2 linked regions of the Tribolium castaneum genome follow. The protein of the gene in region 1 purifies or fractionates together with the protein of each later gene. This does not show direct contact. Links are inferred from orthologs where the notes say so. Each region holds a gene or a part of one and is shown in the gene's direction. Other genes may lie near its edges.

Region 1 (5,105 bases):
AATACATATTACAGTCATAATTTAGGTAGAGCTCAGTCACAAGACCCGGAATTCGCCACAGTTGAAGGATATTATCAAGGGCGATTTCCTTATGTTCGTAGGAGATTTTCCCCGAATCGGTCACAATGATATCAATTAGTTTGGTCAAGTAGAACTCTAGCTGGTACTTGAGGTGCGTCCGCAACGCCTCGAACATTAAAAAACAGACTTGTAAATCGGCCGCGAAGACCGACAAGCGTTCCGACGTCAACAGCTGGAAAAAATTCAAAAATAGAACCAAACTAATTATTTGGGGGACTTACAGAGAATAAGTTCCGACACAAATCATCCTTGACTAGAGCCAGAAGCGGTGAATATTTGCCGATACTGTCAGCCCCCACTTCAAAGGCCACAGTGAGCAACGTGAGCCCCAAATGAATCATAACATCGGTGTTTTGCTTATCTAACGGGTTACACAGGCTGATCAAAAACCTAAACAATTCACGCACACATGCTAGGCCGTAAGGAATCAACACAACCTCCTCGCCCATCTGTTGCGTGAACCTGATCCCCCTCTGGTTGACATAATCCTGAGTCTCTTCAACTTCAGGCGTCGCTTCCTCCTCGTGATTTTCCTCCGGACTTGGCGGATCCACACTTATTTGCACGTTACTTTCCCCAGTTTCGGAAAAATTCGAGGGCGATTCTGCCGCATTTTCGGGGGTATTTTGCGAAATTGACCCCTGCATGTCCACGATATTCCCCGCGGGGGTCATGGGGGTGGTCGAAAGGTGGTTACTGTGATTTTGGGGCTTCAGCTGGGTCGTGGGAGACGGCGTCTCCTCCAAACTTTTCGACAGTCGGAACGACTTTTTCCGCTTCGTCCGGGTCTGTTCAATAGCCCCCGGCCTCATCTTGAATTGTTTGACGGCACACAGGTCATCGGAAAACTGAGGGAGGCGCATAAAGACAAGCTGGACCATGTCTTTGAGATAGTGTTCGGCGGTGCGTCTCAACAATTCTAAAATTTAAGTCACATGGGGGCAAATAATTGAAGGGGCTCACCGTTCAAACGTGTCTCGAAACAAATCCTGAAGCACGACAGCATGATCTCGCAGAGACTCTCGTTGGTGAGCGTGGCCCCCTCGGGGGCCAGTGTAAGAGTCCGCAAGACTTGCAAAATCCGCATTAAAACCACCCCGTCGGAGCTCTGGTCGGTGCCCACGAAGCGGGCGTGCGTGACCGCGTCGGCGATGCTGTGCACGGTGGCGGGCACCGAGCTGTGCGTGGGGTCTGCAAGGGGGCGATCAGGACGAGTGGGGGCTGGCGAGCACTCACCGATCAATCCATACGCTAGGAATTTGTTAACGGCGGACAACGCGAGACTTGTGACCGGACCAGTGGTTTCCTCCGATCGGATCACCTCCAGGAACGGCCCCAAGTAGATGCTTGGTTGCACCAGACGCAAGTCGTCGATTTTGTTCAGGATTTCCTTCAGTTCTTGGAAGTTTTTCATAAGAGGTTCGTCGTCGTCTTGGTGAGAGTGGGACGACCAGCGGGCGCCACGGCGCATCGCCGTCATTAACGTGCACATTTCACCCCTTACGACGAAAATACCGTTGCCCGGAAGCGACATTTTTGCCCGTTTTTTCAAAATTCACGATTTTCACTGTTTACATACTGACACCACCAACACGTCAGCCTGACGTTTCGCGAAACACTACCAACACCACTTGCGAAAACTTGACCATTTTTCACGACGAAACGGCCCAAAAACACATCAGTTGGTACAAAAAATCACTCCGAGTCACTACAAATCATTAAATTGGCCCCTTTAATTCGTAAAATACGAAGAAGAGCCTTAATTACGCAAAAATTGATTTTGTCAAGTTGGTAGCTCTAAACCAATGTCAACTCGCAAAACGTGAGCTAACCTCAAAAATACATGTGTTGCGATTTTGGTGTTTACTTGGCAAAAAATGGTAAAAAACCAAGCGAACGATGACTCAAATGAGAAAAAATCGCACCGGGACCGGCATTCAGGTATTAATAATGTAGTTACGTTTCAATATTGTAAAACTGGTTCAGGTCGCAAGGCTGAGAAGAAGAAGGGCAAAAAGAATGCGAACCGTTTGGAAGACGTGCCTGATAAGCAGCGCAATCCCAAAGCCTTTGCCTTCAATTCGGCCGTGCGTGCCGAGCGTAAATTCCGCCGGAAACAGGACATAGACACGAAAAAACAGCATGTTCCTCTTGTCGATCGCACCCCCTTGGAGCCCCCTCCGATTTTAATCGCGGTGGTGGGCCCCCCGAAAGTGGGCAAGAGCACCCTAATCAACAACTTGATCAAGTTGTTTACAAAATCGCCCCTTGTCGAAATCAAGGGCCCCGTTACGATAGTCACCGGCAAAAAACGCCGAATCACTTTCATCGAGTGCAACAACGATATCAACAGCATGATCGACCTGGCGAAAGTGGCCGATTTGGTGCTGTTACTGTGTGACGCGAGTTTCGGCTTCGAAATGGAAGTGTTCGAGTTTTTAAACATTTGCCAAGTCCATGGAATGCCCAAAATCATGGGCATCTTGACCCATCTAGACATGATCAAAAACGCGAAAACTCTCAAAAACACGAAAAAAGTCCTAAAACACCGGTTCTGGACCGAAGTGTACCCCGGCGCTAAACTTTTCTACCTCTCCGGACTGGTACACGACGAATATTTGCGTAATGAAATTCGCAATTTGGGGCGTTTCATCTCCGTGATGAAGTTCCGCCCTCTGACGTGGCGCACCACTCACGGCTATTTGTTAGCCGATCGCTACGAGGATTTAACCAATCAGGAACTGGTCCGGCAAAACCCGAAGTGCGATCGTAACATCTCGCTTTATGGGTATGTCAGAGGCGTGGCGATTAAAAACCACGCCTCCATTCACATTGCCGGGTTGGGTGATGTTAAAATCCACGACGTTTCGTTTTTGCCCGACCCTTGCCCACTCCCTGAACAAATCAAGAAGCGGGCATTGGTCGAAAAGGAGAAGCTGATTTACGCCCCTTTTTCGGGAGTGGGGGGGATTGTCTATGACAAAGACGCGGTTTATGTCGAGTTGGGGGGCTCACACAGTCATAGTAAGAAAAACGAGGATGAGACTGACATTGTTACCAACTTGATCGATACGCAGAAGACGCTAGATGTGAAAATGGCGCATTCGAAAATACAGATTTTCACGGGAGGGAAGGAGATAACGGGGGAGGAATTTGGGGCTGGTAGTGACGAGGAGGAGGAGGAGGAGCAAGAAACGGAAACGAAACTTTACGAGAAGAAAGAAGAAGAAAAGGAGGAGGAAGATTTGGAGGGTGAATTGAAGAAATTGAGGGGGGCGTATGAACGGTTTCAGGAAGAAAGGGTGGAGGATGATGGGAGGGTCAGGAGGAGGGTCGTTTTTGAGACAGGAGATGAGCAATTAGCCAATAGGATTGAAGACTCAGATGGTGAGGACTCGGATGATTCAGAACAAAAAATTAAGAATGAAGAAAATAAGGATAAAAAGAGAATGAAGAAAACAGATTGTGACAATGAACGCAAAATGACGAATTTTAAAGAAGAAAATACTGATGATGAAGATTCGGATGAAGAAAATACAGATGATGAGGATTTGAATGATTTTGCGACAGAAGAAAATGAAGATGAAGTGCTTGTGAGAAAGAAGAATGAAACAGAAAACAAAGATGATGTCCATTCGAAAATTAGCAATATTTTGAAGAAACTGGACGAGAAGAAGGAAGCTACACTTGTTGAAGAGTCTTCGGATGAATTTGAAGAACAAGAAGACGAAAATCATGATGAAGATGCGTCAGAATCTGAAGATTTAGATGAAGACTCTGAAGATAACGACGACGTAAAATGGAAAGATAATCTGGCGGAAAAAGCACACAGTGCCTTCTTGGATCGCCAGAGCACCAATCAGAACCTCATGAAGCTAGTTTATGGCGTTTTCGAAAAGAATAACAGAAACGAAGACGAAGAAACACAAACTGAACCGGAAGAAGACGAAGAAGAAACGATCGGTGGTCTCTTCAAGAAGGTTTCTCGCGCCCAGCAAAAGCTCAAACTTGACAAGGACACAATGAACCTTCCTGAATCTTCCTTAATACAGCCCTGGAATGCCCCTGTCAGAGACTACCTGACCGAAGAAAACAAAACAACAATTGTCAATTGTTTCGTTACCGGCAAATGGAAGAGTTCGGAAGACGCTTCGGAGCTTTTAAAATTAGACGATGCCGAAGATTTAAGCGATATGGATGATTCAGAAATGTTCGGTGATTTTGAAGATCTGGAAACGGGTGAAAAACACACGAAGCGGAAACGCGACGAAGTGGAGAAAGACGAAGAGGCCGACAGGCAAGCCTTGGCCGAGAAGAAGCGCAAATTGAAGGAGAAATTCGATGAAGAATATGACAACACGGAGAAGAGCTCCTATTATGATGATTTGAAACAAAGCGCGGAAAAGCAAGCACAGCTGAATAAAACCGTCTTTGAGAACATGGCCGATGATGTCCGAGTGCAGATCGAGGGTTTCCGGCCGGGGATGTACGTCCGAATCGAGATTCGGGACGTTCCGGCTGAATTCGTGACGAACTTCAACCCGACTTACCCTCTGATCGTCGGCGCTCTCAACATGGGGGAGGAAAATATCGGGTACGTCAACGTGAAAATAAAGAAGCATCGCTGGTATAGCAAGATTCTCAAAACGGGGGATCCCCTCATTGTTTCGCTCGGCTGGCGGCGCTTTCAAACCCTCCCCATTTATTCCAAACTCGAGGACGATTTAAAGTTTCGTTACCTGAAGTACACGCCTGAGCACTTGGCGTGCAATGCGCATTTTTGGGGCCCCATTACGCCCCAAGGTTCGGGTTTCGTTGCTCTGCAGTCAGTCGCGTCCAATCCGGAGATTTTGAAAAAGCAAGGCTTCCGTATCGCTGCCACAGGCGTGGTCCAGGAGTTGGACAAGTCGACGCAAATCATGAAAAAGTTGAAGTTGGTGGGACACCCCTTGAAAATTTACAAAAAGACGGCTTTCATTAAAGGCATGTTTAATACAGCCCTCGAAGTGGCGAAGTTTGAGGGG
Region 2 (5,082 bases), on another chromosome or scaffold:
ATAATTATACAGGGTTAGTCTGCCAGAAATATATTTTTACTGAAACATTTTAAAAACTTATAATCAAATACTTAATTTTTTTCTCAATGCGTGTGATTTTTTTCAATATTCTTATACAATTCCCTACAATCAAAACTAAGTAATTGTGACGCTGAAAAAATATTGTTTTAACTACTTCTAATAACATGCTGAAACAATAAAAGATACTTGAATGTTGTTCCTAAAGAAGTTTATTCGTTGTATATTAGTATTAATATCGTGATTAAATTAACATTTACCAAGTAAACACCAATTTAATTCAAATTGGTTTAATTAGTAACTAGGTGTAATTTACTTTGCAATGAATTTGCGACAATTTCCTACGTACTTTTTGTACAAAACATTTTATAAAAAAATAAGCGACATGTTTGAGATTGTCATTAGTCATAAAAAATCAGCTAATCAGCAACTGTACATTGTAAAAAAAATCTGAAAAAATTCGCATGCATAGAGAAAAATATAAAGCACTTAAAAGCAAACGCTGAATTCTGTACGATTATTAGTTTTTGAGAGACAGTAAAAATATAGTTTTTTTTGCATAAATACAAAGTTTTTTTTAAACCTACTTCTTTAACTTGGAACCACGAATCTTTAGTGCAGTACCGCATGTCTGCTGCGGCAATTAAATCAACACCACCTCCCACACAAGCCAAATGGATAGCAGCTAAGATAGGTTTTTTACATAATTCTAGTGCTGAGATTGATTTCTGATAGGTGGTAATCAACTGGTAAAGAATTTTAGATTTGCGTGCCACGTCTTCTTGTTCTGCTAACTGTGGCGCCAGCGTCAACATATCTTGAAAATCCAAACCTACGTATTTTTATGTAAACAAAAAAACTTCGCTTAATCGGGTTTAAATAATGTTACCAGCTGTGAATATTTTTCCTGCTCCTGATAAAACAATCACTCGACAGTTTTCGTCAGTGTTTAGATTCTCAAAACATTGTCCAATGTCCCTTTATTACAAAAAAAACTTGGTAATTAATGATAATTATTATTGAAGTTGTATACTTACAACCACATGGTTTTGTTCATAGCGTTTAGTTGATCGGGACGATTAAGTTCCACATGGTAAACAAATTCTGAAGGCACTGTTACAGATAAGGTTTCATAAGAAGCCTGATGAGACATTTTGGCGATGCTTTTTACAAAATTAGTGCCTCCTGAACCTAGATTTAAATACTTAACAATAATATTTGTGCCCAGATATACACTTACAGTTATTGAATTGTGGCAAGATGGTATTGGTGGCCCTTTTGGCAATTAAAGACAACATAATTAAGAATTATGCCCAAGTCTGTTTTTTTGCATAAACAATGTTAAATAATTAGTCAAAACAGATAGATAAGGAGTATGATGGTGCAGAATACAAACTTTACGATAACAAAACGTGTAAAAATACAGTTTCAAGTTTAACAAAACATTATAAATGATAAATAATAATTGAGACAGGTTTTTAGTTTACACGCTTTGTACAATACAATATAGCGATACATACCTTATAAACCTTATAAAATATAACGATTTTTCCCAAATTATGATACGAAACTTGCAAAAATTAAAAACACAGCAAATAAATAAGCAAAACCATTAAACCTACTACCAAGTGACCTTTGTACTACTACTCAGTGGTTATTAGAACTATTTTGCACACTTTATGCACTACTAAAGACCCATTCACACGAATTAGGGCCTCTGATTGTTTAAGAGATATCGCGAAATGTTCCCATTTGAGATATAAAATAAATACAGTAAGCAATTGTTAAATCGTTCACGACTACTAAGAACACGTAGAAAAATATTTAGGAACCCAAATGTGTTTCGATAATTCATTCGTGTGAAACCACCTCTGTGTGAGCTGTAGCTAGTAGTTCAAAAATCTTGCACGTGTGTGACAGCATAACCTTCAAAAATTTTGAATTCAATTTCCAAAAATGACCACTGCCACTGATAAGGGAAGTGTTTTGTGTTACAAGGGCAGCAATTTTTTTCGCCAGAGGTTGGTTTTATCGATTTTGAGCGGTAAACCGGTCCGCATAACCCACATTCGAGTGTTGGAGGATGAGCCAGGTTTAAGAGAATTTGAAGTGAATTTAATTCGTCTTCTGGATAAAATTACAAACGGTTCTGTTATTGAATTAAATGAAACAGGGACAGCGGTGTATTTCCAACCTGGGTTACTGTACGGAGGTACGGTACAACATGAGTGTTCAACTCAGAGAGGGGTTGGTAAGAAGTTTATCCTCAATTTTGAACTTAGGTTATTAATTAATAATGTTGTTGGGTAGGTTATTACTTGGAAGCTTTGGTTATGCTTGGTTTATTTTGTAAGCAACCCTTAAATGCTACTCTACAAGGCGTCACAAATAATAATATTGATCCCTCCGTTGATTTAATAAGGACGTCTGCGTTAAGTACGTTGAAAAAGTTTTTCTTGGATGATGAGGGACTTGATGTGAAGATTTCCAAGAGAGGTAGGGATAGTTATTTTTATTTGTACCATGTGGTCAAAAAAATTATCGTCTAGGAGGCTATGTAACATTTCTTCTCAGCCTTCTAGACGATACATTTTCTCGTTCATATTCATTTGATATAACTGTACAAGGCAATAAAGTTATATTTTTTATCATGAATATGGAGTTGTAACCATATATAATTATAATCTCCGAACTCAATACGATTTTTCCGCTTTTGTTTTTTTAATGAGAGCTAGAGTCTAAACCTACAGTACCATATGTTTTATACATATAACATTTAAAAATATTTGTTGCTATGTAATTTTTTCCTTAATTTATATTAACAATTTTGTGAAAAAAAAGAAAAATTATTCATTTATTACGTAGGTATAATTATCTCAACATAACTTCTGCAAAATTAAATTTTTTTTTTTGACAAAAAAAGCAAAAAATATGAGTGTTATTTAAGTTATTTATATTTGGTAAAAAAGTTGACAAAAAACTAAAAAAAAAGATTTAGCGTCCAATGATTTGTTTCAAATCTTTCTTTTTGAAGGCAACGCCAAAATGAGTGTCACGTGCTTCTTTCTTTAATTAATTTCTTAAGAAAAATGCGATATCTAGTTGTTAAAAGTCAATTTTTCCAAAAAAATTATTTGGTCAAAAGTTTTCTGTGTATAAATATGTAAAAAGTTTGGCATTTGCCCAGACGGTACAAATTTTGTTCTTCACACGAAATAAGAAAATGATTTTTTAGAAAAGTTTTCAGTTATACATATATGATTTTTCAACAAACGCTATGAATGTGTAGTTGATAGCAAAACTAAACATTTCAAGAAAAACAAACTTTTATACAAAAAATTATGAAAAATTGAGATATTTTCATGCTAAAACAGTGTCTAAATTCACATTATCTTTTTTTAAAAAAAAAGAGTTATAAAATTCGCTTACTTTTTGTTATTAATTAGATAAACAAGGAATTCCACGTTTTACCATGTAGTAAAAAATTAATTCTCTTTTTTACATAACAACAAATTTTTATAATGCGAGTAATAAATGTTTTTAAACCTCGGTTTAAAAGCTCCCATTTTAAGCTTTCATATTTTTTTTTAAATTCCACCTTGTGAAGGCTAAATGTGATTAACCAAATTTAATAATAGTTACTTATTATACTTTTCAAGTTTTTAGATGATAAAATTCCTTCTGTTTTTTTATTTTGAATTAAGTTTTCTAAAATTAAAATAACAAAAAAAATTAGTTCATGAGTAAATATTTTAGGTATTTTAAAGTTTTCAAAAATAATTTGCGAACGCAAGGAAATTATGTTTTTACTTAACAGGCGGTTTAAAAAAACTGAGTTTTGTTCAGTGGTGATTTTTGTATCATAATGCTGCAAACTATCTACGTATTTAGGATTTACAAGTTTGAATTATTAGGTTCATTAGAATTTTTAGTGTGGATAAACAACCCGTGTATAAAAAATTAAATACATACTTTTGCAAAGATTTATTGTAAAATTTGCTACTTGAATACCTAATAAAAATTAATGGTTCATTTGACTTAAAAATGAATTACTATCAAACCACAGTTTAGGTTACACCTAAAAAACTAAATGCAAGGATTTAGGTCAAAATTATCTTCTGTTTGACAAATAGTGGCATATAATAAGCAAAAATAAGAGCATTGTTTTCTCAAAGTTGTACTAAAACGATCTATTTATTTGACAATTATTATGAAATTAAATATTCAATTAGTCAAAATTTTCCCAGTTTTCTATTACATTATTGTTTAATTTCAGAATTTTAATTTTAAAAGCAAAAGGATCTTTTTATAGGAATAATTGATTCTACAGGAATTCTATAGAATTGAATTAATTCTAAACAATAAATTGAAAATTATACTCGTATTTTGAAAATTGTTTTTCTTTGCATTGCAATATAAATTTGGAAATAAATTAAAGCATTAAATTGAAATGTATTTACTAATTAAAGTCATAATTTTTTTTTTATTAAATTATTATTTTTTATCATCGTGAATTATTTTAAATACATTATTTTTTTCGAGTTATAAGAGGTTCTCCATTCATCAAGGAGGCTCTGGTTACAATATATAACTTTACGGACTGTTTTTTATGCATTTCTTTTGTTTTGTTTTATACATACATTATTTTTTTAAGTTATACGAGGTTCTCCATTCATCAAGGAGGCTCTGGTTAAAAGATATAACTGTATGGACTGTTTTTTATGTATTTTTTTGTTAACTTTGCGCAGAAAGCTAATAAACCGATAATATTTTTACTCATAAATAGGCTTGCTTCCATTGGGTGGCGGTGAAGTAATTTTCAAATGCCCCGTCCGTAAGCACCTCAGACCAATCCATTCCCTCGACAGTGGAATGGTAAAACGCATCAGAGGCACAGCATTCGCATTACGCGTCTCTCCTGCCATTGCTAACCGAATAGTTGACAAAGCTAAAGGCGTCCTCCTCAACTTCCTCCCCGACATTTACATCAACACCGACCAATGTCGAGGAAAACAATCGGGCAAAAGCCCCGGCTTTGGCATTCACCTAACGGCAGAAACCACC

What was found.
Region 2: the proteins of ribosome biogenesis protein BMS1 homolog (region 1) and Rtc1 purify together in Homo sapiens (co-immunoprecipitation; 4 studies listed by BioGRID and IntAct, with this or other methods). This does not show direct contact. The link is inferred for Tribolium castaneum from reciprocal best matches to the Homo sapiens genes BMS1 and RCL1.

Annotation. Positions count from the first base shown.
Region 1 is NC_087399.1:7,282,090-7,287,194, reverse strand, and holds the start of ribosome biogenesis protein BMS1 homolog, read left to right. Parts: upstream 1-1,762; 5' UTR 1,763-1,958; coding exon 1,959-2,022; intron 2,023-2,067; coding exon 2,068-5,105. Other genes in the region: garz (Golgi-specific brefeldin A-resistance guanine nucleotide exchange factor 1), read right to left, coding at 1-253, 303-1,000, 1,045-1,272, 1,318-1,615. UniProt on the Homo sapiens protein: GTPase required for the synthesis of 40S ribosomal subunits and for processing of pre-ribosomal RNA (pre-rRNA) at sites A0, A1, and A2.
Region 2 is NC_087394.1:7,340,798-7,345,879, forward strand, and holds the start of Rtc1 (probable RNA 3'-terminal phosphate cyclase-like protein), read left to right. Parts: upstream 1-1,889; 5' UTR 1,890-1,974; coding exon 1,975-2,269; intron 2,270-2,328; coding exon 2,329-2,514; intron 2,515-4,804; coding exon 4,805-5,082. Other genes in the region: delta(3,5)-Delta(2,4)-dienoyl-CoA isomerase, mitochondrial, read right to left, coding at 606-850, 908-996, 1,056-1,209, 1,259-1,316. UniProt on the Homo sapiens protein: As part of the small subunit (SSU) processome, it plays a role in 40S-ribosomal-subunit biogenesis in the early pre-rRNA processing steps at sites A0, A1 and A2 that are required for proper maturation of the 18S RNA.